Linked DNA regions of Notamacropus eugenii. The protein of the gene in region 3 purifies or fractionates together with the protein of the main gene of each other region. This does not show direct contact. Links are inferred from orthologs where the notes say so. Each region holds a gene or a part of one and is shown on either strand. Other genes may lie near its edges.

Region 1 (7,363 bases), on a different chromosome or scaffold from region 3:
GCACTGGCACAACTTGGGCAAATAAGTTGCCCGGTGAGTATTTCTCAAATAAAGGAAGACTCTAATCAGACATCATCTTTCCCTTCCTTAGAATCTTAGAATGAAGGGCAGGAAGGAAAATGGTTTGGGGCATAAGTTCAAGAGAGGGAAACAGAATACAGAACCTATACACAGGAGGCCCTAAATGAATGTATTTTCAATGAAAAAACCCAGATCTCCATTATTGTTTTCTCTGGCATCTAACTGGTATAATTTAAGATGGAGTAATGAGTCCACAAAAATGAGCAAACAACATAGATGGATATATCATTACAGAATGTGATGTGTGCTGAGGACATAAAGAGATGCTCAAAGCCCTATTAGCACAGTCTAGAGTGGAGGGAGAATTCTATTGGGAAGGAACCAGCAAGGGCTGCAGGAGAGGGTAGTCAAACCACTTCATTTCCTTCCCCTCAGTTCCCTCATCTGTAAAAGGTTGGAACCTTAGGGATTAGCCAGGCTACCACCTCACTTTGTAGGGATGAGGACAGTGAGCCCGAGGAGTTTAGGGCCCAAGGAGATGGTGGATCCAGGTTTCAGACCTGGGTTACAGAGCTCTGTGGCAGACATAACCCACAGTTTAAGAAGCACTGAAGGGGTCATGAGTGAAAAAAGTTTAAGAAGCTCCGGACTATGTATAATGTTCTGGCCTAGAGAAATGCCCTAGGAAAACCCCTCTTGTGCTCCACAGCCTTTAGTCCCCAAACGCAGTGCCACATTGCCTCCATCACTGTTGTGCAAACAGAAAACTTGGCTGCCCCTAGGGAGATCCGCGCCATGCGGCTGGCCTACAGCCTGTTCTTGCAACTGTGTTCCACATGCTATCACTTAACTTGGCTTGTCTCTCCAGTCACCCCAGCCACACCCAGTGCCTTTGCCTCAGTGGGCCAGATAGGTCAGCCCTTGCATAAGCAGGGCTCCTGGCCACTCCAGGAGGGACTCAGCTGGTAGCAAGCCCAGGCCAGGCCCCTCCTCTACTATCTAGTCCCTCCACCAGCTCAATCCCCTTCTCCACTCCTCTAACCACACCCTAAGCCCCAGGGTGGGGGTGGGGGTGGTGGGAGTGGAGAAAGAGCTGAGTTCTGACCTGCAAATCCCCACCCACAGCCTCCAGCCCAAGGAGGAGCCAGAGGGAGGGAAGAGACTTCATCCCACGGAGGCCTGCCACAGCTGTACAGTAGACCCAAATCAGCTAGATCTGGCCTGGCTGTCCCATAGGAATAGGAGATAACCACTGCCCCGGGCTCAGCTGAGGCTAGCGACACTGACACCCAACCAAGTCATTTTTCTCCTTCCCCTGTGCCTCACAGAATCACACCTGGAGAACTCCTGACCTCTGCCCCAGGAGGGCCCCTATTTAATCCTCTCTAAGCCTGTCATCACCAGAGGCAAGATTCCCCAAACCTAGTGCTTTCGCCCCTTCCTCTCTGGCTTGGGAGCCATGTGTGGATTCAGATTCCATCTCTAACACTTGTGTGTGTGTTTGTCATTCTTTGCTGAAGAAGATCATATCATCAGAGAAATGATGACATGACGTGCACTTGACTTTGTTTTGAGTGAGAGAGGGCTGTGCAGGTCACCTGCCTCACTTCTCCTCCAGAGCCATCTGAATCCAGCGACCAGATGACTGGAGATGACCTAGGATGAGGCAATTGGGGTTAAGTGACTTGCCCAAGGTCACACAGCTAGTGAGTGTGAAGTGTCTGAGGTGAGATATGAACTCAGGTCCTCCTGACTCCTGCACTGCTCTATCCACTGCACCATGTAGCTGCCCCTTCTCTAACACTTACATCCAGCCTTAGTCACTTATTAGATCCAGTGCTGATGTGAGAAGGCAGGGCAGTCTGGGTATTTCAAGGCATTGTGGTAATGGACATTCTGCTCTGTTACACACACACACACACACACACACACACACACACACACACACACACACACACACACACACACACCCAAATAGGGTCACAAAGAGTCAGAAATGACTGAAAACAACTAACCAACAAAGAAAAACAACATATATCACTATGGGTTGGGGAGAGAGTCTTATCTAAAATATGATGAAAAGTGTTTAATAACATAATGCTGCCCCTTCCCCTCTCAAGGTCTCAGTTTCCTCATTTGGGAAAGGAAGGGTTTGGAATAAATGACTCTGAAGGTCTCTTCCAGTTCTATCTCTGATTATCAAGAGTTAAACCGATGGGGACACTGAAGCTGAGAACTACAGTTCACAGGTGGGGATGATGGTTGAGGTTCTGAGATGCCCAGTCTCAATCCGACTCCTCCCCACCCTGCCCCAATTCTTCAACTGCATCCTCTCCTGCTTAAGACATTTCAACAGCTTTGAATTGAAGGTATAATAATGAATAAGAATACCTTACATACTTACAGTGGATTTATCATTTTCAAAGCACTTTCTTACAGATGATCTGATTTGAGCCTCACAATGAATTTGTGAGGTAGGCTGGGCAGATAGTATCCTTATTTGACAAATTAAGAAACTGAGATTCAGAAATGAAGTAAATTGCCCAAGGTCACAAAGCAGAATGAGCAATACAGCTGAAGTCCTTTGGCTTTTTTTTCCAGGGCATTCTGACTTCCAGAAAGGGTAGAATGGGAAAAAACACTGGGTTTGGAACTGAATGAGAATTCTTCCTTTGTGACAACTCTGTGGGTCTCAGATTCTTCACCTGTAAAATGAGGGAGCTGGACTGAGTGACTAGCCATTGGCCTGCTCTAGTCCTTTTATCTAAGATCTTTCATTAGTCATGGGAAAATTGTCTTATATTTGTGGGCATCAGTTTTCTCAGTTACGATATGGGGGAGAAACCTTCATAGCATACTGTTGTGGTTTGTCCTTCATTCTCAAAGAGGACCATGACATCAGGGAGATGATAACATGACTTGCATTGAATTGGATTTGAGGGAGGGCAGGCTGGGCAAAGTCACCAGCCTTACTTTCTTCTCCAGAGCCATCTGGGTCCAGTGGCCAGATATCCAATCAGGATGACCTGAGATGGCCCAGCTTAGCATGCTGAATTCAGAGTGAAGGACCTGGGTTGGAACCTCTGGTTCAGCAACTATGAGGTAGAATTTGAACTCAGACCTTCTATTACTTACTACCTACCAGTGTGATCCCTAGGTTAGTCATTTCATTTCTCTGGGCTTCAATTTTTTCCTCTGGAAAAACCAGGGGGTTAAAGAACACTAGGTGATCTCTAAAGTTACTTCCAGCTCTAACTTTTTTTTTATCATAAGCATTCTTCTTTCCTCCACAAGGATGTATTAATAACAATTTTTTTTTTGTTTTTCTGTTGTTGTCCAGTTGTTTTCAGTTGTGTCCGACTCTTCATGACACCATTTTGTGGTTTTTGTGGCAGAGATACTGGAGTGGTTTGCATTTCCTTCTCCAGTTCAATTGATAGAAGAGAAAACTGAGACAAATAGAGTTAAGTGACTTACCCAGGGTGACACAGCTAGTAAGTGTCTGAGACCAGATTTGAACTCAGAAAGATGGGTCTTCCTGACTCCAGGTCTGGCGCTCTATGCCCAGTGCTGCCACTAATAGTACAAACTATTTAGTGCTTTTAAGGAACACAAAGCACTTTGCATATACTAACTCATTTTATGCTGGGAGGGAGGTAGTAGTATTATCTTGGCTTTATAGATAAGGAAACTGAGGCACATAACCTGAGGCTGGTTAAAAGACTTAGCCAAGTTCACCCAACTAGGAAGTATAAGAGGCAGGTTTGAACTCAGGTCTTTCTTGAAGATAATAAAATGGAGATGGGAAAATGTCATGTAAACTCCAGCTGAGCTGATGGACACTAACACTCTAGAGAATGAGTCAAGGTTTGCAGGGGTAAAGATTCCATTTAACCAGCACTTTTTAAAACCTCCATTGAGCTCATTACAATCTACAAAGCCTTTTCACAACCTTTATCTCATGTGATCCTCACCACAACCTTTGGAAGGAGGTGGTCACAGGTATTATTATCCTCATTTTACAGATGAGGCCCAGAGAGTTGAAATGTTTCACTCAAGGTCTGATATATGGTAAGGATTAAACATGAACTAGAACCCAGGTTTTTTGACCCTTAGTCTAGTGCTTCTTCTCTCTTAATCAGTGAATCAACCAATCAACAAGCATTTATTAAGTGCTTACTATGTGCCAGGTAATTTCAATCACTGCGGGACCCAAAGAGAGGAAAAAACAAGCCCTGCTTAGAAGAAGCTGACCTTCTAATGGGAGAGAGGATATGTAAATAATCCAGAACATACAAGATATATAACAGAGCTGGTGGAAGTTCATCTCAAAGAGGAAGGTTCTGGAAGCTGGTAGAATGAATAAGACCTCCTGCAGAAGACTGTCTTGGAGCTAAGTCTTGAAAGATACAAGAGATTCTAAGAGGTAGAAGTGAGGATGAGTATTTCAGGAAGGGATGCCATAGTTGGAAATGTTTGGGTTCATATATGAATAATGAACATTTTACTCTAAAAAGGAAACTTTTAAAGTATTTGCCTCAATCACATTTGTCCTCTCGAGATTCTCAAGGAAAATGGAGGTAGAGGATGTAGAAAGAATATTGAGATTGAAGGCAGAAGGTCTTTATTCTAATACTACCACTGTCACTTTTCAAGTGTGATCTTGGGAAAGTAAATTTCAAATCTCACTACCTTTCCTAACTGGAGAATGGGAATTATACTTCTTACTCTGTAATCTCCTTACAAAGTTGTTGACAGGAAATCATTTTGTAAAAAAACATAACACAAGCTATGAATTATAATCTGTAAAATGAGATCATAAACACAATTACTGACAAACATAAAGAATATAAGCTCCCAATGGTTTTTAAAAACATTCGTTATTTTTTAAAAAATTTGATTGGTAGAACAAAATGTCCCCTTAAAAAGGCTGACTACTAAAAGGGTCTCCCATCTTTATGTTAAGCTCACGTAAGACTCCTTAGTAGATGTAACCACAGAGATAGTTTTATTCAACAGTCATCTGAGTATCCATAGGGAGCCAGGGACACAACAGGGAGGTGATTGCTCACTGAGGTATTTGTCACTTTCATGGAAGACAAGGATAGGAGGTCCTGGGTAGAATCCAAATGAAAAAATAATTCTCTAAAGATGGTAAATTTGGCCATATAATGAGAAGATGGAACCCATTGGAAAACACCCTGGTGTTGGGAAAGAATGAAAGCAAAAGGAAAAGGGGATGGCAGAAGATAAGATGGATGGATAGTGTCACGGAAACAACAAACGTGAACTTGGACAGACTTCAAGAGATAGCAGAGGAGAGAACAACTTGGTATGCTATGGTCCATGGGGTGACTGAGGAGTAAGACACAACTGCATGACTGAACAACAAAAAAGATGGTGAGTTCTTCCTGGCATTATTGGAAGACAATGTACTGAGAACCTCAAGTTCCAGAATAGGGCAAGGCTTCTTCCATGAGATCCATAACCACTAAAGTCTAACAATCTATAAGGAAAAAAACATTTAGATGAAGAGTGTCTATTGTCAAGTCAGCAAGTATTTATTGAGCACCTACAGTATGCCAGGCACTATGTTAAGCACTGGAGATATAAAGAAAGACCAAAAAAATGATCGCTGGCCTCAAGGAGCTCACAGTCTTAATAGAAGAGACAACATTCAAACAGCTACATTCAAGTAAGATATACAGATATGTATGTATAGATAGATTTAGATATCCACATACCTATATCTTGATAGATACATATATATGCCTTCCCTCTGAGATTATTTCCAATTTCTTCTGTATAGATATAAATATATAGCTATCCATATCTATTTATCTGCCTACCTACCTACCTATCTACCTACCTATCTATCTATCTATCTATCTATCTATCTATCTATCTATCTATCTATCTATCTATCTACCTATCTATCTATCTGTCTATTTATCTATCCATCCATCCATCCATCCATCCATCCATCCATCCATCCATCCATCCATCTATCCATCTATAGGATAAATTAGAGATACTCTCAGAAGGAAAGCCTTAACATTAAGATAGATCAGGAAAATCTTCCTGTAGATGGTGGGATTTTTTGCTGAGACTTGAAGGAAACCAGGGAAGCCAGAAGGCAGAGGTGAGAAGGGAGAGCATCATGTGTATGGGACACAGTCCATGAAAATGCCCAGACTTGAGAGATGGAGTGTCTTGTGAGAGGAACAGTAAGGAAATTGTCCTGATTATGACACACTGCTGGGAAGTTCACTGATTTAAACTATCACTACACATATTCTGGACAGGTTCTGCAAGTGGACAATGAGCCAGGGTCCAAATCGAACATGTGGGAGGGAAATGGCCAACAGCATTGGGGAAATCAGTTTTGATGAACCCAAATTATATCCTTATGTGTAAGCTCATTAAAAAAAAAACCACATTACTATCCTTCCAACTCTCTTTCTTCCACAAAGGGCTTAAAGGTCAACCATGCTGAGATGGAGTTGGGGTGCTATATGATTGTGAATCATATACTCTACAGTCTCAGGAGAGTCACAGTTGTGCATGGCACAAAGGGCAATGGGGAGATAGAGGATGGAAGCTGACTCCAGTTTATTACCAAAGATGACTTTTGTGTGATAAGTAGCATGGAAGACACCAACCAAAAAAACATTGTGCCCAAAAAAGGACGTAGATTGGTCATGTAGTAAAAGCAGAGAAGAGATGGACAGAGTCCCATTGGTACCCATGTAATATTATCAGTCATGTAGCGAAAGCAAAAGATAACAGATGGACAGACTGAGGGCTACACTGGTCCCCAGGTGATGTTATTAGTCATGTAGTGAAAGCCAAAGATAACAGATGGACAGATTGAATGCCACACCAGTACCTTTAATGTGAAAAGACCTAGGGGAGATCTCTAGTAAACTGAGTGAAATCTTTATAAAGGCTTTATGGAGACAAGAGCAGAACATGATTCGATGGCTTATATGGACTTCTATGGAAAGTGTCCCCATTAGTGAGATCATATAGTAAAATGAGAGCTTTCTACAAAGAATTCACAAACCTTCACTGTTTTTAAAATTAATATTATTCCCATGTGACAGTAGGGAAAGCATGTGCACAGAATAGCCAAGGGACCTCCCCAGGGTCACACAGCATGATTATGTCAGTAACAGGATAAAGCTAAGGACATGCCCTAGCCTTTCATATTATAACAGAGTATCTATTAGCATTCCTAAGACAAGTCTGTATCTGTCTCCTGGCATTCTGCTGTCCTCTAGATGATGACCTTTTTTTGCCTCTGAAAGACTTAGTTGACATTCTTGGGGATCTTCCACAT
Region 2 (7,471 bases), on a different chromosome or scaffold from region 3:
ACCACTTGATTACATAGTGTTGCTAATAATTTTAAGTATAAATACAATCTTCCAACTTAATTTATACATCCTTAGATGGGAGGATGGGTCATATTTCTTTTTTTAACTGGATAATACCTAATTCATCACATAGTAGGTGTTCAATATTTTTTTAATTAAATCAACAAAAAGCATCACACACGTGTATCTGCATATATTTATTATACATAAATGACTCTCCTAAAGCAATCATTTCCTGATGAAATTTGAAAAATTAGGAGAGCTTGAAGTTGACAAGAAAATAGGTGAAATTGCAAAGAACTAACAAAGGAAAACAAGAGTTGTAGCTGTCATTCTTTTACACAAAAAAAGTCTTTTGAACAAATCTTAGCATTTAAATGAGAAGGTACAGAGAAAATTTAAAGAACTGAACATTTATGCAGTTCAGACAGCTACAACAGAAAATGGTAGAAAAAGCAGACCTGAACAGAGTCTTACCTACCAGGAGTCCTTTGTTCCTTCATAGATATGGATGACTGTTTTTGGACTAAAGAAACCCAGATGGGGACAAAAAGATATAAATGAAGGGGGGAAAGAATTAGTAGAGAAGGTATTCAAGGAGTTAAGCCTATTGGAAGAGTGGAGTTGTAATATTTCGAGTATAAATCAAGAGTCAGAGAATAGGCCAATAAGAAATAAAGAAAAGGGAAGTATGACATACCTCAGAAGCTGACTAGATGGCACTTGCTGCCAGGTATGAACCTAAGTCTTACTTAGATTGCAGATGCTGAAAAGGACGTACCTAATAATTTTCCTTCCTTATTTTTTCATATATTAAAAGCTACAAAGAACCCATGTAAGATTGCATGCCGTCTCAGGGAGGGAGGGAGAGAAAATTTAATACTTATGGAAGCGACTGTTGAAAACTGGAAACAAATTAATTTTTTAAAAAAGGTACAAATCTAAGAATACACCCAATGCAATGGATGTTATATGGATGCTCCAATATTAGACGAAAAGTCTCATTTGAAAAAAAATTTTTTTTGATACTGCCTACACGTGTTTTCTTTTTTGTACTTTTAAATGAATTTCTAAGTCAACGAGTAGTATTCACATGCTCCTTAAAAGAATTTTTTGTTTCCTCCAGAAGTGGTTAAAAATTAAAACACTGGTCAAAAAAAAAAAAAAAAAGCCCGGCGGTTTCAACATGCTTCTAATCGCATGATTATGCAATCTGGAAGACAAGACTGCTTCTACCTCTTGACTTCTTCAAGTAAATTTTGAGATCAACACTGCTGGAAGGGAAGCGCTGAAGCAGACAATTCTGATAAACCAGGCTGGGAGGGGATGGGGGAGGGAAGAAATGAGTAACTGACAGACAAGGGGATATTAAAAAAAAAAGCTCAGTGACGTCAGCTGTTCCTGTCCAGCACTACAAAGTGTCAGAAGGCAGAAAGCGGAGATCAAAATTTCTACAGATTTCTAAGTCCTTCTAGAGTACAGTCAAGCTCAAAGCCAGATAAATCCCCCGAATTCCAACCCCACCTAAACCCGACGATTTGTCGGCTGGAGAGAATGTCTTCCAGGAAAATAAACACGCGTGGCGAAGGGCTGGGTGGCTACAGCTCCGGGGCAGATCCGAAGGGCAGGGGGCGCGCTTTCTTTTCCCCGGGTGGGACGCACACCACTAACACCCCGGGGCTGCCACACGACGGCCCTCCCTCGTCCCACGCCCCCGAGCCACGCCGCCCCGTTCCGAGGAAAGTGAGAAAGTGCTTTCTCCGGGTCGGGGTCACTCCCTTCCCCACGCCCTGGAAGCGTGGAGAGTAGTCGGCCAGGAGCGGGAGGAAGAGCAGGCACCGAGACCCTGGGGGTTGGTCCGTGACCACTCCCTCCCCAGCTCTGTCGCCTAGGAAACCAGGACCCCCTCCCCCACCTCGACTCCGACCCGGTCCGGGCTGGGACAGGGAAGCAGAGCCCAGCGGCTCTCGGCCGGCCCGACTCCTCGCCCCGGCCCCGGAGCCTACCGAATAGAGGGGTGCTGGGGTGGCGACCGTGGAGGTAGAGGTGGAAGCGACGGCGACAAAGCATTCGGATGATCGAGCCGCTGCCATGGTCCCGCTGCAGCCCTCCGGGACACACCGGGGCTTGCCAGCTAAGCGGGAAGGGTGGCGCTGACAGCGGCTGACCCGCGCTCGGCGGCCCGACCTCGCCTGGGGCGGCGGCACCCGCGGCAGACGCTCTTAGAGGCCCCGGGCGCCGCCATCTTGGCCCGGACGGAAGCCGCGATGAGCCAAAGCGCGAGCCCAGGCCCGGCCCCGGAAACGCGGAAGTCGGCGGGGTCTCATTATTAATTGCTCAGGACCAAAAGCTTTGGGTCGTAGCTGTGAAAGGTACTTGTTTGACACCCCCCTTCCCTTTTTCTCCCCTCGCCGTACACCCCGTAATGGCCGCGGAGGACAAGCCGGGACCGGATGACTGTTCCAGCGCTGAGACTCTCCTGGATACATTGTTGCACAACCTCTACGACTTCGGTGAGAGCGAGGAGCTGGGCCGGCACCCACGTGGGTTGCTGGAGGGGCGCGGCGGGGTGTTTTACTGGTGTACTTTCTTAGGGCGTGCGGCACTGGCTCCTTTCCGCCAGGGGCAGCTCCTTCCAGTCCTACGTGTAGAGCTGGGCCCCGGCAGGAGTGCTTTAGAGGACACCCAGTGACCCTTCCCCACCTGCCGGAGCCTCTGTATCCCCGGGCGAGGCCGGGGGCGTGGGCTGTTTCACACCTGCCGGGTGCTTGATGTACTTTCCCACGAACTGACCTAGAAACGGGAGGCCGGCCCCCTGCTGTCACCCCATCCTCCCACTGGGTAGTCGTGGGGTTTACTTTTCCCAGAACAGCTCCCTGCGCATCACCCCATCCACTGCCCAGCACACTGGGTAGTAGTGGCTTTTACTTCTCCTTCCTCCAGCACCACCTGACCTCCGCCACCCTTCCTTCCCCACTCCCTGATTGAGAAGTGGTGAGTTCTAGTTCTCCCTGGAAAGAGCCTCCCCCAACCCAGCGTCCTTCCACTTCTGTTGACCCATTGAGCTGGAACCAACCTGTTCTGTGTGCCATTGCTGCTGTCCCTTAGACGCTGTGGGCAGCGGGGAACTTGGGGATACAGTTGCCAAGGTCACAGTCTTCTCCATACCTTCCTCTGCCGCTCCAACAAAAAAAAAGGACCTTTGAAAACCTGCTTGGCCCGGGTTACCTGACTGTCTCTCGTCTTCACCGTCTGTAGCCCTGTCTGATTCAGCTCCGGTGCCCAGGAGAAAGAGTAGCTCTTTGTCGTGCTGGAGCGAGCGCAGGGCTGAGAAGCCTGCGGTGTCCGGACCCGGAGCTTCCCAGGAGCGCTGGAGAGCTGGGACAGAGCAGACTAAGAGCTTCCTAAGCTCGACTTGTCACTGCCTCTTAAGTTCCTAGCCAAGATAAACTGCGGAAGGTCTTCCGCAATCGCAGTGGGCATGTTATTAAATGGTTGGAATATAATTTTGTACCTGGCACTTCAGGGAAGGTAGCACCACCCTTCTTTAGCCAATGATGGTTAGGAGGGAGGGAGGGGGAGATCGAGGGAGGGGAAAACCCTCTTGTGCGTACCGCGGACGGTACTCATTCACAGCAATCCTTTTTTGTGTGTAGATGCAAGCACATTTTCAAAACTGGTTAAAATGTTGGAAATGCTCTTTTCTTTTGAAAATAGTTTTGTTTTGAGACTGGGTAGACCAGGCTATTAGGCTACTGTGTGTGTGTGTGTGTGTGTGTGTGTATGAATGAGTGTCTATATGTGTATATATGATTGTGTATATATATATGTATTATACATATGTGTGTGTTGTAATTATGTAAAAAGTCAATAGTATTTATTGAGGACCTGTTACAAGGAGAGCACTCTGTCCTGGGGATTTGGGGGAAGGAGGGAGAGGGCAGTTACAAATGAAGCAGAAGACTGGAGGTTGAAGAATTTTAAGAAGGTCAAAGTCTAATAGAGAAAACTATGTATTATAATATTATAAATGCCTGTAATACTGTACATTACAAAATATGCAAACATGGGGTGGGAACTATCACTCAGCAAGTATTTGGAGAGTTAGGCAGTAGTGGGAGTGCTAAACAATCAGGGAACTGGGTGTTTTAAATGCATGAGTACTAGGTAAATCTAGAGGCCCACAAATCAGAAGAAGCTTCTGATTATGAGGTAGGGAAGAGGGAGGCCCTTGGGGGACTAACAGATTTGCTCAGGTTAAACCAAGAACATGATTGTAATTTGGGAAAATAGGACGTTAAAGTGTTTTTACCAGTGCCTCAGGTTTAGTTTAGTTGTTAAATTTTTGCATGCAGAAGATCAGGAGTGAGATTATAGTATACATATTATAATATAATTATAATAAATCTCATAATGCAAAAAAGGTTTTTGAACAAAAAGAACCATTTTCTGATATTACTGTCAGCTTTTAGTCCGCCATGCAAGCAGAAAAGTGAGGCAATGGTGTCTCACAATGGTATCTGGATTTCTGGATCAAGGCTTAAAATAGAGAAATGACAGGCCCAGAGGGATGAATGAACACCTAACAAAAACAAGTAGAAATGTATTTCTTGGAGTTTTAGAAATATGACCAAAAACACTTTAAAATGAAAAGGGAGAGTTAGAAAGTTGCCTATAAGAGAAGATGTACAATGAAGTCTCAGAAGTGGAAAAGACCAGAAATTTACAGAAAACAAAACTCAGGAAAATGTCAGAAAGAAAGCTCATAGCTTCAGGTCTTCAAATGCACAAAGTGTGGGCAATAAGCAAGATGTTTTAATAGACATATACAGAAGATGAAAGCAAAGATAGGTAACAGAGAATGAATACTAGAGTGTGATATGGTCCTGAAAGAATAACGCTTTTTTTTGGCTTATCCTAACATGGTGGTGAAGGCATAGGAATGACCTCCTTACCATGCCCACCACGTCCATTTCAGGATCACGAGGTTTCTTGCAAAGAAGCAGAAGCAAAATTATTTCATTCTTTAATGGAGTTGCAGGAAGACAGGCAGGTGCAACTCCAAGATAAAGATCAGATATAACTCCAAGAAGAAACATTGTGGAAGGACCAAACTAGTTTATAAAAACTATCAACATGATGAAATACTTAGTCTGTACCAACTCCAAACACCATACCATAACACCACTCCTGACAAGAAGTAAATGCCACTACCCTCCCATTTTGGAAGCTGTCTGAGAAAGTGCAGCTACCAAAACAAAACAACAGATTTATTTTGGAAGAGGTTATTCTTGTCCTTTTGTTTTCACGTTTCAACATGTTTTCACATGTTGATTGGTTTAGTCATAAATATATTTGTGGGGCACCTAGGTTTAGTGTACCTTTTCTGGATTCAGGAAGACTCATTTTCTTCAGTTCAAATCTGAACTCAGATACTTACTAGCTGTGTGACCCTGGACAAGTCACTTAACTGTTTACCTCAACTTTCACATTTGTAAAATGAGCTAGAGAAGGAAATGGCAAATCATTCCAGTGTCTTTGCCAAGAAAACTCCAAATGGGGTCACAGAGAGTCGGACATGATTGAAAAATGACTGTACAAAAATATGCACAAAATTTTGCATCACTGTTTTTATATATTATATATGTATAATTATATATTTGCCTGTAAGAAGCAGAGTACATAATAAATAAGGTGCTTGGAGTCAAGAAGACCTCAAATTCTGCCTCAAACAATGTATATGACCCTGAGCAAGTGACTTGACCTCTCTGAATCTGTTTCCTCCTATGTAAAATGGAGATAATGATAGCAACTTCTTTACAGACTTGTTGTGGGAAATTAAATGAAATAATGGCTAGTGCGGGTTAATTTATAAGCCTTCAGTGTTAGATAAACTTGACCCATTGCAACCAGATTATATGTGGCCTCTTCCATGCTAATCAAAGCTAGTGATGATGTATATTAAAGGAAGGCCTTACGTTGTTTCTAGTTTTTTTTTTCTGCTAGGGAAAATGATCTTGGGACTGGAAAGAACAGAAAATGGCTAACAGGGAGTTGAATAGGAAAAGTAGTAGCCTTAGACGATGAGTTCATGCTACCAGGCCCACATGAACTAAATCTTCATTTTAATATTCCTGTTAGATATAATTGTTGAGTCAAATGTTCTTTCAAAGATCCTTGAGAATGTAGAGGTCTGGGGAAGGGCAAATGTTGTCCTGACCTCTAACTAAGGGAAGAAAATCAATTCTAAAAACTGTAAGCCGGGGAGCTTGACGTATAGAACATATTTTTTTTTTTCTTTTTTTAGACTTGTGATTTCAAGGTAGAGAGAGCTCCTATGAGGAAACTTCCTCCCCCAAGGCAGATGATCAGTAACTCTTCTCCAATTTACAGACTTAGAAAATTGCCTGGGTTCTGGAAAGGTTATGCAAATATCACAGGTTACACAGCCCAAATGGAACATATTATTAAAGGGATAATTGGTTAATGTCTAGAAAAGGAAGCAGTGATCACCGAAGGTTGTTCTAGACCACAACTAACTCAGATAAGTATCGATTCACGCTTAGGAATGCAGTGTTATAAGATATTCATGGATCAAAAAAAACCAATAAAAATGTCTTTACTGAGAAGATTTAAAATATATATGTAATTTATATATATAATATAATATATAATATATAATATACACTTATATATATATATATATATATATATATATATATATATATATATATATATATATATATATGGTCCCTAATTAAAATAAAATACTACTCCTCTGCTTCAGTATTCACCACAGCAAGTGGTAACACTCTCAGGAAGTCATACCTTGCAGGACAATATAAATTCTGTTTAAAGCTCTAGAACATTTTGATCAGTAAAAGATGCATGGAATATTTCTTCATTTATACCTTTGTAAGGTTTTTATGCCCAAATATATACTCATTTTTAAAAATAATAGTGCCATATACTGCTGAGAAATAGATATACTCCTTTCTTTTGCCATTCAGTATTTTCCAGGAGTCTAGTAACCTAATTTTTCTAAAATTCTATTCTGGTCCTTTATTTCTTTTTGGTTTTGTTTTTGTTTTAAATTAGACTTATCTAAGTCTGAGAGGGGGTAAATTAAGGTCCCTCACTATTATGGTTTTACTGTTTATTTCTACATATAATTCATTTAACTTTTCCTTTAAAATCACTTTTAGGTGTTTTTTAAAATTTAAAAAGCTTGTAGGAATTCTTGTTGGACCTTTGTTCAAAATGTATTTTTCTCCGAGGCTTTGTTTATAGATGTTTTTGAGTCATCTTTTTTCTTTTGGGTTTGTGTTTTGAAATTTCTTATCACCATAATAAGTCATTATGGATTTTTTTTGTTAGTTTATCCTTCTATCTTCTTGACTTCAGACTTTCTGTTACTTCTGAACTCTGTATACTCTGGGGAGGAATGTCTTGCCTGAGCTTCTTTCCTCTT
Region 3 (8,493 bases):
TGTGGAAGAACCTGGCAACTAAAGCCACGAGAATAGCCAGCAAGGGGGTCTGTTTGGACAAAAATGACATCTAAGATCCCCTCTAGGTTTTTACTCTATAGTTCTTTGTAGATAAGGCAGATAATTCACCTAAAGAAAACTAGGAGTTGGCTACATTCCAAGATTAGGGCAAGAAACGAACAAACAAAGCCAAGATGTATAATCTGGGTCAAGAAATCTTCTTCTTTGGTATCTCAACTACTACAAGAAAAATCAAACTGATTCAAGCAATCTGACTACAGCAAGAGAACAGCTCTCCTTCCTCTCTCCCCCCAAATTAAGTGGACTAAATGTCAATTTTCCCTTAGGTGAGGAGAAGAATAGAAAGCAGATGAACCAAATCACAGGGAGAAAAATATCCTAATGGAATAATAATTATTTTGCTTTTTCCTGAGTATGCAACCAAACTTGTCTATGGCACAAAATGAGTCATTTAAAGAAACTAAAGAAATAGGAAATATTTACAGCAGTTTTTGGTAGTGGCAAAAAGCTGGAAATTCAGGAGTGGCCACCAACTGGGGAATGGCTGAATAAATTATTATGTTCACATAATGGCACACTGCTGGGCTGTAAGAAATGAAGAGATAGTTTTGGAAAAACCTTCAAAGACTCATATGAAGTGATGTAGAGTGAAGTGGGAAGAACTAGGAGAACAATTTATACTATATAACATCATTATTATACATGAGACAATTTTGAAAGATTTAAGAACTCTATTCAAGACAGTGATTTACCATGACTCCAGAGAACCAATCATGAAGAATGTTACCCACCTCCTGACAGAGAGATGGGACGGACTAATATGCAGAATAAGACACATTTTTAAAATCTGGACAGTATGGATAATTTGTTTCACTTGACTATGTTCACTTGTTACAAGGTTATAAAAACTTTTTCTTGAAGAAATGGGGGAGGGGAGAATAAATGCTTGATAAATGAAAAAATAAAATTTAATTGAAGACAAACCCATGTGGCAAAAATAGCATGACCTAAAGACAAGTTAAAAGTGAATTAATTCAGTACAAGAGCAAAACTTCTATTTTTTCTTTTCTTCTAGCTTTTCTTTCTTCCCAGGGCTACAATATAAAGGGGAATAAAGGTTCAACGTTTTTGTTGATCTCGTCTTTCTTCACAAGTGTCTAGTGCAGGGAGCATTGAAATAGTTTTTAATTATGAAAAAGAGAAAAGGAGCAGAGTGGGGAAAAAATCAGAAACACAGTAATAATGAGAATATTAAAATGAAAATAGCTAGAGATACAGAAATTTCAGTATAGTGTTATGGTAAGAACATTTAAATGGAAGGCAGAAATTTTCCAGTTCCAACATTTACTAGCTATGACCTTGAGCAAACTGCTCCCCATCTTGGGAACATTTTCTTCATCTGTAAAATAGGGACAGTAATACTTGCAGTTTATAGTTGTTGTCCAAAAAGGACTTCATGAAAAAACCCTCAAGGGTCATAGCTGTACTCCAAATCTTCTCTCTCTTCCATGTGGGTGCACAACACATATATCCTATTATTAGCCATCATTCATAACAAAATAAATTATGTCTTTTCAGAGGGGGAAAAATTCCTTACAATGAAGTCTATTTCACCTTTCGCAAAACTCTTCCCCCAGTAAATGGCAGTCAAGCTGAATTTCTCACCAGAATTCAGAACATCAAGCCCACAAAACCGTTGTAGCTAAAATTTTTATTGCCTGTAATTGCTTTAATCCAGAACTAAACAGAGGAGGAAAAGATATCTTCCTTTACATAAACATTTCCCACCCTATGTCACATGAAGGCTAGATAGCTCTGGCCTAAATTGAGTACAAACAGACCCCATTTGTGGGGGTTGAAAATATAAAGAGCCCTGGAGTGACAGAGACTCGAGTTGCTAAACGGGCTGTGAGTCAGACATCCTTCCCTAAGAGCCTGGAGCCTCGGTCCTCAAACACAGTTTCCCCAACCTTACCTAAACCCCAAAGTCCCCCACCCGGGGGAGGCCCCATCTCCGCAGGCCCAAAGCCCCGCCCCCATTCCTCTAGACACAGGGTCACACTTCATTTCCATCTCCACCCCCACCAGCCAGGCGCCAGGCAGAATCCTTCCCTTCTCCCCTCCGAGACCCCCACGAGGCTGCTCCCCCCGAGGTCCCTGACCCTTCCCGCCTCACATGCCTCCCCCATACAAGGCCCCCTCCTGACCCCCCAGGACCCCAACTCTTCTCAGTCATAGCTCCCCCACCAGGTCCCCTCCAGCGTTTCAACCTTGAGGCTTCATCTCCCCCTACCTGTCCCCAAGTTGGGGGCCCTTCACTCCCGAGCGTTCGGGGTCTCAAGTCTCTAGTTTTTGCGCTCCTCTACTACCCTTCCCGGGACCCTTTGAACCCCAGGCCCCCAGTCTGCACCCCTCCCCCTCCAGGACCCCTTGAACCCCAGGCCCCCAGTCTGCACCCCTCCCCCTCCAGGACCCCTTGGACCCCAGGCCCCCAGTCTGCACCCCTCCCCCTCCAGGACTCCTATAACTCCAGGCCCCCAGTCTGCACCCCTCCCCCTCCAGGACCCCTTGGACCCCAGGCCCCCAGTCTGCACCCCTCCCCCTCCAGGACCCCTTGGACCCCAGGCCCCCAGTCTGCACCCCTCTCCCGTCGGGACCCCTTGAACCTCAGAGGCCCCTAACCCGCGACCCCCCCAATCCTTTGAACTTCAATCCTCCAGCCTGTGTCCCTCCCGCGGGGCCCCCAGAGCCTCATTTCCTCAGCCCGCATGGCTCACCCCTCCACCCCGGGCACACCCTGGGTCCCCTCACCCCCAACGGTCCCCGGGCCCGGGCCGCGGGGGCCTCCAGCGGCCCCAGCCCCACTCACCGGTTCCGGAGGCGGCCCGAGCGCACAGCAGCACTGCCGCCAGCAGCCACAGCAGCGGGGCCCCCATGTCGCGGCGTCGCGGTCCCGAAGTCTTCGAGCGGCCGACCCGCGCCTTGGCTCGGTAGCTCGCTCGGTCACTGGATCCGCGTAGGGCTCCGGCCGCCGCTATAAGAGCCCGCGGAAGAGAGGCTCGGGAGCGCACGCGCACAACGCGGTGACGGAAGAAAAGGAGAGGCGCAGCCCGGGTACGCGAACGCCGTCGGGCTCGCGCCCGTAGCCCCGTCCCCACCCCTGCATTCCCCCTCCCCGCGGGCCTCTAACAACCAATCACCTTCCAGTAGGCCCGCGACTCCGAAGACTGGGCGGGGCCTGTGGGAAAGGGAGAGAGGGAAGTGACGAAGGGCCCGCCCACGGGCGGGGCCGGGAGGAGTGCTCTTTGTAGGTCAGAAGATGTGAGCTTGTGCACGCTTAGGGCCTCCCGCAAAGTAAACTGAGCTACCCTCCACTTATTTCACCTTCCTTTCGTTTCTAAAGCCCTTCAGATCTCACCTCTGAATCAGAGATCTAAAGAAGAATTTAGAGGTCATCTAGCTCAAGTCCCTTATTTTGCAAACGAAGGAACTGAGGCGTGGCGTGGGTGAATGAGTAGCCCAAGGTCAGAGAGCTAGTGAGTGGCAAGGTCAGCATTCGAACCCAGGACTCTCGTCTCCAAATCCTGCCCTATCTCTGCACCACACTCACCCATGGCTCAGTCTTTGTTTACACGCAGCTCGGCGTCCTGTCTTTCCGTTTGTTGTTCAGTCGTGACAGCGTGGACCACAGCACCCCTGTCTGGTCCTCTCCTTGGGGTTTTCTTGGAAAAGCTACAGGAGTGGATTGCCATTGCCAAAACTCTCCGCTATGACCTCTCCGTCCTGGGTATCCCTGCGTGGCAGAGCTCATAGGTTCATTGAGCTAGCGAGTCCCTCATGGATCCACCCTCCCTCGCTCAAAACAAAGTCAAGTGCAAGTCAAGTCATCATTTCCCTGATGTCATGGTCTTCGAAAGCGAAGGAGGAACACATACACAACCCTCATATATCCAAGATGATCCACAGGGAGCCCTTAATGATTGTTGGCTCGAACTGAATTGGCATCTGTTCTCTCCTCTTTTAGCCTGGCATCAGCAAGGCAAGTCCAGGGTCACCTGTGTGCTCTTCAGGTGCAACATCAGCCTAGAGGAAATCTTTTGCTAGACAAAGCAAAGCTAACGGACTTTCTTTTTCTCCAGAGAAAAATCTGCAAGATGATCATTTTGTCCCTCTGTTTACAGATGTTGTCAGTCATACCACTGTTTCTGAAACTAAATCAAATAACTTAAAAAATGAAACAAGCCACTGCTTTTTACACAGGCAATCATGAGTAGAACAAGTGCTTGGAAACTGAGTAGAGTTAACAAAAAGATGAAGAAACTGAGACCCAGAGAGGTTGTGTGTTTCCTCATGGTTACCCTGCTAATAAATCTTCTCTCCTTTGCTTGACTGTTCATGAATCCCCCTTTCTTCCTATCTCCCTCTGCTTCAACTGTTCTTGAACTTCATCAAGACTTCTATATCCTCCATCATGAATACTTTTCTCCTTCTCCATTCTCAACTTAACAATTAGACATTTCACCTCTACACAGTTCTCTGTTTTAGGGTTGGTTTTTTTTTGAGGCAGTCAGGATTAGGTGACTTGCCCAGGATCACACAGCTAGTAAGTGTCTGAGGCAGGATCTGAATATCCTTCATCTCCTAGTTCTGTTCCTGGTCCTCCCTTGCCAAACCTCATCTTCTTTCCTCCCCTTCTTCCTTCTCTTCCTTCTCTTCCTTCTCCTTCTCTTTCCTTTCTTCTTCCAAAGCTGCTAAATGAATTGCAAGAAGTCTCAAAACTGTGCTGACAGGGCACAATATTAATTCATGTCCTGCAATCTCAACAGAGCCTTCTCTGAAACAAGGCAATCTTTTCATTCCTCTCTAATTGATTCCCTCTCTCATTAACGACAGAACCAATCTCCTCCTTCCTCAATCCTCCCAGATCTCCTTCTGCTCTTCAACCTCAAAACTAAGACTCTGGCCTCTTAATTTATTGAGAAAATTAAGGCCATTTAACATGAGTTCTCTCTTCTCCCATTCTCTTCCTCTCAAAACCTGTTGACATCATCTCCTATGTTTCTGAAATGAAATTAAATAAGTTAAATAAAAAATTAAATAACTAAAATGTTTGTTATTTGCATTTATCCTTTGTTGCAGAAGAAGACCATGCCATCGGAGAAATAATGACATGATTTGCACTTGACTTTGTTTTGAGTGAGGGAGGGCTGTGCAAGTCACCAGTCTCACTTCTCCTCCAGAATCATTTGAATTCAGTGACCAGATATTCATCAGGATGACTGGAGATGACCCAGGATGAGGCAATTTGGGGTTAAGTGACTTGCCCAAGGTCATACAGCTAGTGAATGTCAAGTATCTGAGGTGAGATTTGAACTCAGGTCCTCCTGACTCCTGCTTTATCCACTGCACCACTTAGCTGCCCTGTTTGTTATTTAATGAAATAGACAAAGAGGTAGTCTTTCTCCTTGACAAGGTCAACCCCTCTAAATATGCACTTGACCCTGTCCCCTCCTGTCTTCTCCAGCAGGATGCATTTTCAGTCCTTCTCCCCCCCTCTCAAATTTTTAACCTTTTCCTATCTGTTTATTTCTTCCTTACTGTCTTCAAATGTATTCAAATTTCTGCCATCCTTAAAAAATTCTCACTAGACCTTACCATATTCTCAAGCTACCAGCTACATCTCTCCTCACTTTTTCAGCCAAACTCTAGAAAGATGTGTCTACACTACCTCTTCTCCCTTCCTCAACCCTTGGGAGTTTGATTTCATACCTCATCACTTAACTGAGACTCTCCTTTCTGACTTCACTAATAATTTCATATTTGCCAAATCTAATGGAGTTTTCTCATCACCTATCATCCTCCTTACTCATTTGACACCGTAGACTACCCTCTCCTGATTACTCTCACCTAAGTTTTCATTACATTATGTCTTCCTGGTTCTCCTCCTACCTGTTTGGCCAACCTTCTCAGGCTCCTATGCTGAATCTTTATTCAGATCAAGCTTCTCAATGATTGGGGTTCCCCAGGGTTCCATCACAGGCTCTTCTTTCTTCCCTTTGTAATTTTTCTCTTGGTAACTCATCAACTCCCATGGGTTTAACTATCACCTCTACAGAGATGACTCACATACTGTCCTGATATGAGTTTTTTCCTTTGACTTCTCCAGTTCAGCATCTCCAGCTGCAAACTGAATATTCAGGAGACTTTTCTGACCCAATGTGTCCAAAACTGAACTCATTATCTCTCCCTGAAACCCTCCCCCCTCTTCTAAACTTCCCTATTTCTGTCAAAAACACAGATGTCCTTCTAGTCTCCCAAGTGGGTGACCTCAGCATCATGCCGGACACCTCCCTCTCCCTCACCCCACATATTCAGTCAGTGCCAGGCTGTTACCTTACATCATGCACTCATCCCCTTCAACCTAGATTATTATGACAGCCTCGGAATTGGTCTCCCTGACTCAGGTTTTTCTCCATTTCAGTCCGTCCCCTGAACTGCTGCTAAAGTAATTTTCCAGATGGGCAGATCTGACCTTGTGACTCTCCTACTCAATCAATTCCAGTGGCTTCCTATTGCCCCTAGGATAAAATGTAAACTTCCCTGTTTAGTTAGTTTATAAAGCCTTTCACAGCCTGGCCCCAACATCTCTTTCTAGCCTTAACTTTTGTCTGCCTCAATTTCTTCAACTGTAAAGTGAGGATAATTTTATTAGCATTTACCTCCTAGGGTGGCAGTGAGTATCAGATGAGATATAGTAGGCACTAAGTAAATGCTAATTCCCTTCCTCCTTCCTTTCTAGATCGTTGTGGATCACCGATGAAACACCCACTACCTCCCTAACTCCATAGGGAAAAAAAATACACAGTCAGACCTCTCTCAGCTGATATTTCATAGATCCATATGGATTGCACACACAAACCAAACCAAACCAAACACTCAGCACTTTCTTCCTGACTCTAAGGAGAGGTACTTCACATCTGAATTGACTTTTTCAATCCATGGTCCCCGCCCCCCCCTCCCCCCCCCCTCCCGCAAAAAACCATACTGTCAGAGTTCCATTTAACTTCTTATGCTCTTAAAAAGGCAGTAACAGTTTCTATAGCCTCTGTAAGAGACGGATTCAAAACAACAGTTTCATTTAGAGCTAATTGTTTCCTCTGATGGCCTAGTATACATACTAGGGTGAGAGCTCACCAGATTTCTCAATCAAATCAACCAAAAATACGAACCATTCGATCAATCAATTTATCGATGCAGTTCAGCTAGATGGAACATGAAATGTGTTGTGACGTACTGAAGAAACTTGGTCAGGTTCTTTGGGTTTTCTATAAAAATAACAAGCCAATTAAGAACCTAGTATTCAAGTGCCTGACAGATTAGAAAAGAGAATAGTTACCTCAGAGAAAGAATTACTTGGAGAAACTAGTAGGGGTGGGGAAGAAAAGTAGTCTTTCTTCTCTCCTTCTCTCCCTCCTCCCTCACCAAGGAAGGAGCTGGGGAACTTCAGAATGTCAGAGGATTTGGAATTGGATACCCCTAGAGCCCTGAGGAGGAACAGGTAGCCATGTTTTGGGGAAACCTTTCAGTGAGAGGGGGAATTGGGATAAGGATCCTCAGAGCTTACACAGGAAATGGAAACAGCAAAGAGAAGTAAGGGGAATGTATGGACATCGTTAGAGGAATGGGAGGGACTGCTGGGACTTTCATGTTTCATGCACTTTGGAGTTAACAGAAGGCTCCCTTCACAACTGTCTTGATAGGAGTAATTGGCAGAGATTATAACTCTTGTTTATTTAATTTTTTTTGGTTCAAATTTGTGATTTCTTTAATGTAGAGAAAGAATTCCATTCCTTTACTTCTCTTTAAATTCTCTAAATAGCTAAAGAATTGCTTAGGGACACTGAGAAACTAAGACTCGCCCAGCGTAACACAGCTAGCATGTGCCAGTCAGAAGCTGAACCCAGATCTTCCTGAATGAGAGCCCAGCATTCTGTCCACTCTGCTAATCTGCCTCTCAAGCCCCATTTTATAGATGAGGAAACTAAAGCTCAGAGAAGGGGAATGACTTGCACAGCATCAAAGACAGTAAGTGGCAAAGCTAGGATTCAGACTTTATGTCATCTAGCTTTAGGTGTAGGATTTGGGTTTAAATCCTGGCTCTGAGTGTTGAACTAGAGGATTTCCAAGTTGAATAGTTGAATTTTTTGGTCTCCAAGTTAAACATGATGGCCTTCCAATTGAATTTGATGTCTTCTAAGTTGAACTCGATGGCCTCCAGTTGACCCTGCTGGCCTCCAGGTTGAACTTGATGACCTCCCAGTTGAATTTGGTGGTTACCAAATTGAACTTGATGACTTCCAAGTTGAACTTGGTAGCATCCAAGTAGAACCTGATGGTCTCCAGTTGAACTTGATGGCCTCCAAGTTAAACTGGATTACCTGCAAATTTAACTAGATGACCTTCAAGTTAAAC
Region 4 (8,110 bases), on a different chromosome or scaffold from region 3:
CACAGGGCACTGAGAAATCATGGGACCGACTAGAGTCAGTCTTAGTATGTGAATCCTGGTTGTCCTATCCTGAGGTCAGCTGTCCTGGGAGGGGTAAGATGGAAACATCCTGGGACAAGGGAGAGGTCCAGGGCAGGGACAAGAAAAGCCTCTGTAGAACTTGCTATGTGCCGAAGAACTTTGCATAAATGTCTCATCTGATTCTCATGGGGGGGGTGGGTGCTGTTATCACTCCCATTTTACAGGTGAAGAAACTGAGGCAAAACAGAGGTAAAGTGACTTGCCTAGGGTCACAGTTAGGAAGATACCTGAGGCTAAATTTGAACTCGGATTTTCCTCTGTACCAAGCACTAAGTGCTTGAGCCAGGATTCAAACCAAGCACTCAGATCCCAAATCCAGGACGCTTCCCACTATTCTATGATGTCTCTTGTAAGAGCTGGACCAGATAATTCCAGGGATTACATGAATCTAGGAATATATGTCCTCATCGAAGTTTCCAGAATGGGCTGCCTGACTGAGGCCCAGGGGTCTAGTTCCTTGAGATCTCCCCTATGAGCTCAGTCTGGAACTGCCTCAACTTTTCTACTTTGGGCTTCTGGGGGAACCTCTCAGTCCCCTGGGATTCAGAGGATAAATCGAAGGTCCATGGCCAAGCCAGGGCCTTGAGATAAAATGGATGATCTCACTTGTTCCCCTCCTCCACAGTTTTGGGAACAGCAGACAGCTCCATCCCAGCCCTTCTCCTATCCATGAGAACAGTCTGCTAGGCAAGACCAGCCTCGCCTGTCCTCTGGCCCTCCAAACTGGAAGAACCCTCAGAACCTCCACTCCAGAGACCTAAGGTCCCTCAGAATAACAGCTGCTCACGTTTATATAGTACTCGAAGGTCTTACAGAATGTGAGAGAACTGAAAAGGGACCTCTGAGATCACCCTGTCCTCTCTTAAACACTTAGTTGCTATTGACCTGCTTGTCGCTTATCACACTAAGTTCCCTTTAGAACAGGCTTTTGTTCATCTTTGTGATCCCTAACAGTGGGCACTGAACAGCTGCTGACTGAATTTAGTTCACCCCCCCCACCCTTCCCCCCCCATTTCACAAGAGGTTCCTCCCACCTCCCTCAGTCAAGATATCTCCTCCCCTTGAGAATGCAATCTAGGCCCATCCATGAGACTTCCTTATTCTTCATCTCTCCCCCCCTCCCCCTCCAATGTTCTCTCCTCCCTTCTCCCCCTCCAATGTTCTCTCCTCCCTTCTCCCCTTCCAATGCTCTCTCCTCCCTTCTCCCCTTCCAATGCTCTCTCTTCTCCTTCCTTCCACTAGTGTCTCCCTCCTTCCCAAATCTAGTAACAGCTGACATCTAAAGCGTGTGAAAGCGCTTCACCTACATTTTCTCATTTGGTCCTCCCAACAACCCTGTGAGGTAGGTGCTATGGGCACTATGATCCCCGGTTCATAAATGATAAAAGTAAGGCTGAGGGAGATTAAGTGACTTGCCCAAGGTCACACTACAAAGAGTCAGACAAAATGTGCTCTCTTGCCCTCCCCACTGATAGCTACAAAAATGTCCTTCCCTTTCCCCTTCCAGGATAGTTTCCCTCCTCCCACAAGGGTCTCTAATGCTCCTTGCCCCAGCACCTCACCATTTCTTTCCCAGTCCTTAAATTCCCTACACCCCACCCCACCGGTTACCCCCACAACGCTCCTCCTCCACTGGGCTCTAGGACAGTCCAACAAGCTAAACAGTTCCTCCCTCCATCTCCCTCCGTCCTCAATCCCAATGTGTCCCATCAACCTCCCCAGCAGCACCTGCAGCCCCAGAGCTATCCCCACTCACCCTCTCTCCCATCCTCCTCCTACTCTGCCCAAAGTTTTCTGCCTAATGGTCTCTACCAGTCCAGGGTTTCCTTTCTGGCCCCCAAGCCTCTGTAACAGTCTCAAGATTCACACTTGCTCCTCATCCTCCCTGCTCCCCCTATTCTCCCCAGTGGTTTCTACCTCCTCAGAGGTCTCTTCTCCCCTCCCCTTCTCTCTACTCCCTAGGGTTCTCCCCCCCATTCTCCTCCATGGTCTTTACCTCCCTAGGTTTCTCTTCCCCCCCATTCTGCCCAATGGTCTCTACCTCCCCAAAGTCTCCCCCCCAATTTTCCCCAATGGTCTCTACCTTCCCAAGGTTCTCCTCTCCCCCCATTCTACTCCATGGTCTTTACCTCTGTAAGATTCTCTTCCCCCCTCAATTTTCCCCAATGGTCTCTACCACCCCAAGGTTCTCTTCTTCCCCCCCATTATCCCCAATGGTCTCTACCTCCCCAAGGTTCTCCCCCCCAATTTTTCCCAATGGTCTCTACCTTCCCAAGGTTCTCCTCTCTCCCCATTCTCCTCCATGGTCTCTACCTCCCCAGGGTTCTTCCCCCCCCCCATTCTCCCCAGTGGCCTCCCTCACCCTGGGGTTCTCCCCCACCCCCATGATCTGTCTTCAGGGTTCATACACCCCTCTTCCTTGCCCCCTTCCCCATGTTCTGTCCCCATGAAAGGCTCCACCTCCACGGTCCCTCTTCGGGGCTCACTCACGTTCCGGCCCCCCCCCCCCCCCGCGCACGATGGTCTCGCCCATCGCGCCCCTCTCTCTAGTTGTTTCTACCTGCCCAGGGTTCTAGCCTCCTCAGAGTGCCCACGCACACATACTACCCCAACCTCGCAGTGTACTGTCCCTGTCTCCCCCTACGCACGATGGTCTCGCCCATTGCTCCCCTCTTCCCAATGAGCAGCTCCTCCACAAGGTTCTGCGCCCCTGCCCCCACCCCATCATGGTTTCCTTTCCCCTGGGGGTCCGAGTCCTGCGGAGGCCGCCCTCCTCCCATCCTCTTCTATTCTCCCTCGTCGCCCCCTGTCCTCTTTTCCCTCTCTCTTCCTCCTTCCCCCTCACGCCGCCCTCGGCAGCGTCTCCTCCTCACAGCCGTCGCCATCTTCGGGCCGACTGCCGATGCCCCTTCTGCGCAAGCGTGGCCTCTGCGAGGCCCGCCGGGAAATGGAGTTTTCGGAAGGGTGCGCGCCCCCAAGGAGGAAGCAGAGGCAGTGAGAGGGCTAGGGACGCCGGGAAATGGAGTCCAGAGTAGCCTCCCCGCCCAGGGAGACTCGCCCCGATGCCCCAAGGCCGGAAGGAGACTCTACGAAAACAGAGCCATTGCACCGCGGAGCCCCGGAGGCGTCTCTGAGGATTGTGGGAATTGGAGTTCTCCGCGCTCCGTGGGTTCTCCGGAAGGAGGGCGCCGGGGAGGGAGAGATCCGGGGGGTGGCGCTCCTGCTCTCCTCGTGGTCGCAGAGAGCAGCGTGGAGCGGAATGGGAGGCGGAAGGGAGTGGAGTCTTCCGGGCCTGGGCCGGGCTGCGAGGCGGGACGCTGTCGCGGGTCCTGCACAGGCCGGGGCGCTGCGTCCAGCCGGATGACCCCCCAGGGCCGCTGGAGACCCCTTCCCTGCGCGCTCCAGCCCCCTCCGAGTCACGAGCGCCAGACGCCCTGCTTAGGCCTTGTCCATGGCCCGGGGTCCCCCCTTCCAGGAGAGCACTCGCTGGAGGCCACCACCTGCTGGCCAGCCTCTGCTGTTCCTGCCACCCCCAGTGATTTTCTGTTTTATCTCTCCCCGCCCCCAAGTTCTGTGAACACGGGTGCTGGGAGCGGGGGAAGCCCTGAGACCCAGCTGCTCCAGCGCCTCCTGGTGATACAGAGGAGGTGTTGCAGGGAGCAGGCAGCAGACGCAGTGTTGGAATCCAGGACCTGGGTACCAGGCTGCTTCCTGCGGGGGAGGGGGAGGGGAGGGAGCGAGCTTTACCAAGTGCCTGCTGTGTGCCCGCGGGCTCTGTGCTAAGTGCAGTGAGGCGTTGTGCTCTTAGCCCCGTTTTACAGTGGAAGAAACTGAGGCAGCCCGAGGAGACATGGTTTGCTAGGGTTCGGGGGGCTGGTGCGGGTCTGTGGCTGAATCTGAACCCAAGCCTTCCCCACTCCGGGTCCCATGCTCTCCGTATGCACGTCTCTGGTCTGGGCTGGCCAGCGAGGCCCGGCTGCCCCCAGTGAGGGGCTCCCCTCCCTCCTCCAGAGTCAGCGAAGCGCAGGGAGTCAAGAGTCCCCAGGACTGGGGAAAGCTGGGGAGGCCGTGCATGACCTCGGGGCCTTCCAGCCCCTGCTTCAGGAGCTGGACTTCATGGCCTTGGAACGGATGGTGCCCATCCACTCATTGCCTTGGGGAAGTCTTCACACCCCCTAACTCACCAGCCCCACGTAGATACAGAGAGAATGACGGTCTCTGCCCTCCAGAAGCTTCCATTCTAAGAGAGACCACCAGGGGACATTGGGAAGGTGTGGGTCCACGTCCCTCCTCACACGCTTCCTGGTGGGGTGACCTTTGACAAGTCCCCTAACCTCTCATCTTGAGTTTCCTCATCTGTAAAATGGGACCTATACCAAAGGGAGGCTAGAAGGATCAAATGAGAGAAAAGGGGCTTTGGGAAGCTCAGCTATTTCCCATGATTATGTGTTTGGAGGGAGATGAGGGATGGCACCCCCACCTTTGCAATCAGGAATACTGAGGTTCCAGTCTCTGACATATATACTAGCCTCATCACTAAAGGCAAGTGCTTAACCAGTCGGTGCCCAGGAAATACAAGAATAAAATTTACAGGTGAGTCATTCTGTATTAAGGACCAGGAGTTCTCTGCCTAGAGGAAGTCACTAGCCCAGACCCCAAAATATTCTTTGAGGATGGTGGGAGGGCAAACTTTGGGAAGGAGGAGCCAAGAAAAGCATTCTGTAGGAGGCCACCTAGCAGCTGAGCCTTGAAGGGAGAAGGGAAGGGGAATAATCATTTATTCAGCAACTACTGTATGCCCGGCACTCTGCTATGTACTTTACAAATATTTGAGTCTCCCAACAATCTTGCAAGGAAAGTGCTTTTGTTATTCTTATTTTACAGGTGAGACAATCAGAGGTGAAGTGACTTGCCTAGAGTCAGTAACTTAGGAATTTATGTAGGTGCAGAGGTAGTGTATTCTAGGCATGGCACACAGTGCACCAGGAACATGGCATACTCTGAGCAAAGACCCCAGAAGTGAGAGGGGAAAGAGCTAGGTGATTGTAACTGGAATGGAGTAATGTGAAAAAATATCTGGAAAGGTGGGTTGCAGTTAGATTGTGAATGTGCTGAGCTAAGGAGTGTGTTTTGCTTTCTTAGAAGTAAGAGAGAGCCATGGAAGATTCTTGAGTAGAGGAGGAGCCTAGGCAAATCTGTGCTTTAGGATTGTACCACTATGGAGGATGCATTAGAAGAGACTAATTATAAGGCCAATATGAAAGTCTCCCTTTGAGTTTCTGAGCCTGAGTCACTTTCTCAGCTCCATCCCCATCTCTGATCCTTTATTCCCATACCTGGATCCTGATTCTTTCCTCTGAGGCTGTATCCAGAAATTTACCAGACCACTACTGATCATGTCTTAAATTATTTTGACTCAAACCCATCTCAACCTCTGCTCCAGTGCCTGTCTAGGAACTCGACATCTCTGCCTCTGACTTCATGCTCCCAACTCTGATCCTCATCCTTGCTTCCAAGGACTAGTTTCCATAACTGAACCCCCATCCTCACTTCAGAGTCCCCATTCCCATATCTGGACTTTCATCTCTGTCTCTGAATTTCCATTGCTGTCTGTGATATCCCTGTTTCTGAGTCCCAACCCCCATCTCTGAATCTCTTACTGCAGACTCCCAATTTCTGGCACTGAAATTCCTATCTCTCTGCCCCCATCACCATATCTAAGATTCCACCCCATCCTCAAGTTTCCTCCTTTGTCTTCAAACCCTTGTTTCTGTCTCTGTGTCTGAGAACTCCTTCCTATCTCTGGATTTCTAGTTCTATGAACTCATGTCTGTGAGTTCTGAGCCCCGTCACTGACCCTAAGCCCACATCTCTGTCTCTGATGTCATATATCTGTCTCCAATTTCCTCATCTCTGTCTCTGAGTACCTATCCCAGTTTTTCCATGTAATTCAACATTTATAAGCACCCACTATGTCAGCACCTACTGTGCTAGGCACCAGGGACACAGTGACAAAAGTTAAACGATTCTCTCAAGTAGTTTGTGTTCTACTTGGGGTAAAGAGGAGTGATATACATACAAATAAGTAAAAGACACAAAGTCATTTCAAGAGGAAGAGAATGTTGATAACCAGAGAGATCAGGCACCTTATGTAGGAGGTAGCCCCTGAACTGTGACTTGAAGGAAACATGGGATTTCCAGTCACAGAGGACAGCTTTTGCAAAGGTATGGAGGTGGAAGATGGAATATGATGTATGGGACAAAAAAAAAAAATCTAATTTTGGAAAAAAAAATACTAGAAACACAAATGGAAGAAAACAGAAAATCTTTTATAACTTTAAATGTAGACAGACTAAACAATCCAATAAAATGAAAGAGTAACAGATTGGATAACAGAGCACCGCAATCTGTTGTTCATAAGAAACATGTCTAAAGCAAAGACATGCAGAATATGTAGAGGCTGAAACAAAGTTTACTATGAATTGGTGAATCCAAAAAGAAGGAGTTGCTCAGATAAAGGAAAAACAAAAATCCACAATATATATAGAGATAAAAAAGCAAGGTACATTATGCTATAGGAACCACAGACAACAAACCAACCTCAGTTTTAAACTGACATGTAGCAAATGGTATAGCATCTAACCTCACAAAGGAAAAGTTAACTAAATTGTAAGAAGATTTAGATAGTAACACAGCAATGGTGAGACCTTAAAGTCTCTGGTATTTGGATAAATATTACATAGAAAAATGAAAAAAATTTATAGAATTAAACAAATTTCCAGAAAAATTAAAGCCGAAAGATATGGCATCTTCTGAAAGTGACGGCTAAAGAAAATCCATATATCTCAACACCACAAGAAATTTGTACAAAAATTGACTATATTAAGGAAGTGTAATAGTGTAAATAAATGGGAAAAGATAGAAATAGTAAACACATCCTTTACAGATCATAGCACAATAAAAAATAATTATCAGTTTGGGAATCATGAACAATAGATACGGAATTCACTAGAGACATGATAATGAATGGGTGAGTCAAAGAAGAAATCAGAAAGAATAATGAGAAAAGCAATGCTAATGATGAAACAACATACAAAAATTTCTGCCATGCAACTAAATGAGTCTTCTGTGGAAAAATTATATCTTCAATAAACCATATTAACTTAAATATGGGAAACAGCTAGTGGCCCATTGACTGGAAAGGAGAATGAATGAAGGGACATAATATGAAATAATACTGCAAAGGTAGGTAGGAGACAGATTTTGAAGGGCAATGAATGCCAGGCTGAGGAGAACAAACGGGGATCGACTGAAGATTTCTGATTGAGAATTACATGGTCGGACCTATGTTTTAGTAATATCATTTTGGCATCTGTGTGGAGGATGAAAGAGAAACAAAAGAGAAGAAAAAGTTTAGAGGCAGGGAGACTAATTAGGAGGCCATTACAATAATCTATGCAAGAGGTATCGAAAGCCTGAAATGGGACAGAGGCTGTATGAGTGGAGAATATTTATAGTTCCTCGACTTGTCTTAAAAGTCCCTAGACTCATTGAATCAAATTAATCTCCACTTCCCAACTCTTACTGTCCACATTTAATCAGATACTTTGCCTTGCTGATTCCACCAACACAGTACATCTATCAGTCCTTATGAAGGCTCATGCCAGGAATGTATGCCATCCTGATTTCCATGTCTTAGAATCTATAGTTTCGTTCAATGTTCAACTCAAGTACCACCTCCTATATGAAGTCTCCTTTGACTTTGAATATAGCTTATATCCACTGGCAGGTTGAGGCCTCACAGGGAAGTGACTACCATTTCCCTCAAGGACCTAAGGATAATTCTGAAAAGTTGAAATTTCTAATATTGTGACTCCTGCAGTCCCACCAATATGCTCCCAGTTATCAATCAGTAAGCTAAAACTCCCATTAGCTTTTTAGGAAAGGGCATTTAGTAAGAAGGTATCAGAAAAGTAACTGGTATAAAATATTTCCCCTATAGTATTACATAGTACAGGTATAGTCTCCT

The links.
Region 1: the proteins of BSG (region 3) and ATP2B4 purify together in Homo sapiens (affinity purification with mass spectrometry; 3 studies listed by BioGRID and IntAct, counting the BioPlex papers as one, with this or other methods). This does not show direct contact. The link is inferred for Notamacropus eugenii from reciprocal best matches to the Homo sapiens genes BSG and ATP2B4.
Region 2: the proteins of BSG (region 3) and GNPAT purify together in Homo sapiens (affinity purification with mass spectrometry; 3 studies listed by BioGRID and IntAct, counting the BioPlex papers as one, with this or other methods). This does not show direct contact. The link is inferred for Notamacropus eugenii from reciprocal best matches to the Homo sapiens genes BSG and GNPAT.
Region 4: the proteins of BSG (region 3) and SYMPK purify together in Homo sapiens (co-immunoprecipitation; 3 studies listed by BioGRID and IntAct, counting the BioPlex papers as one, with this or other methods). This does not show direct contact. The link is inferred for Notamacropus eugenii from reciprocal best matches to the Homo sapiens genes BSG and SYMPK.

The regions. Positions count from the first base shown.
Region 1 is NC_092873.1:436,292,515-436,299,877, forward strand, and holds the start of ATP2B4 (plasma membrane calcium-transporting ATPase 4), read right to left. Parts: upstream 3,091-7,363; 5' UTR 2,426-3,090; intron 1-2,425. UniProt on the Homo sapiens protein: Calcium/calmodulin-regulated and magnesium-dependent enzyme that catalyzes the hydrolysis of ATP coupled with the transport of calcium out of the cell. By regulating sperm cell calcium homeostasis, may play a role in sperm motility.
Region 2 is NC_092873.1:386,515,335-386,522,805, forward strand, and holds the start of GNPAT (dihydroxyacetone phosphate acyltransferase), read right to left. Parts: upstream 3,447-7,471; 5' UTR 3,167-3,446; coding exon 3,077-3,166; intron 2,514-3,076; coding exon of another isoform or gene 2,426-2,513; exon of another isoform or gene 2,094-2,425; coding exon of another isoform or gene 2,007-2,093; intron 1-2,006. Other genes in the region: FSAF1 (40S small subunit processome assembly factor 1), read left to right, coding at 2,426-2,513. UniProt on the Homo sapiens protein: Dihydroxyacetonephosphate acyltransferase catalyzing the first step in the biosynthesis of plasmalogens, a subset of phospholipids that differ from other glycerolipids by having an alkyl chain attached through a vinyl ether linkage at the sn-1 position of the glycerol backbone, and which unique physical properties have an impact on various aspects of cell signaling and membrane biology.
Region 3 is NC_092875.1:69,278,130-69,286,622, reverse strand, and holds the start of BSG (basigin), read right to left. Parts: upstream 3,075-8,493; 5' UTR 2,958-3,074; coding exon 2,891-2,957; intron 1-2,890.
Region 4 is NC_092876.1:27,829,650-27,837,759, forward strand, and holds the start of SYMPK (symplekin), read right to left. Parts: upstream 3,061-8,110; 5' UTR 2,967-3,060; coding exon 2,955-2,966; intron 328-2,954; exon of another isoform or gene 309-327; intron 1-308. UniProt on the Homo sapiens protein: Scaffold protein that functions as a component of a multimolecular complex involved in histone mRNA 3'-end processing. Specific component of the tight junction (TJ) plaque, but might not be an exclusively junctional component. May have a house-keeping rule.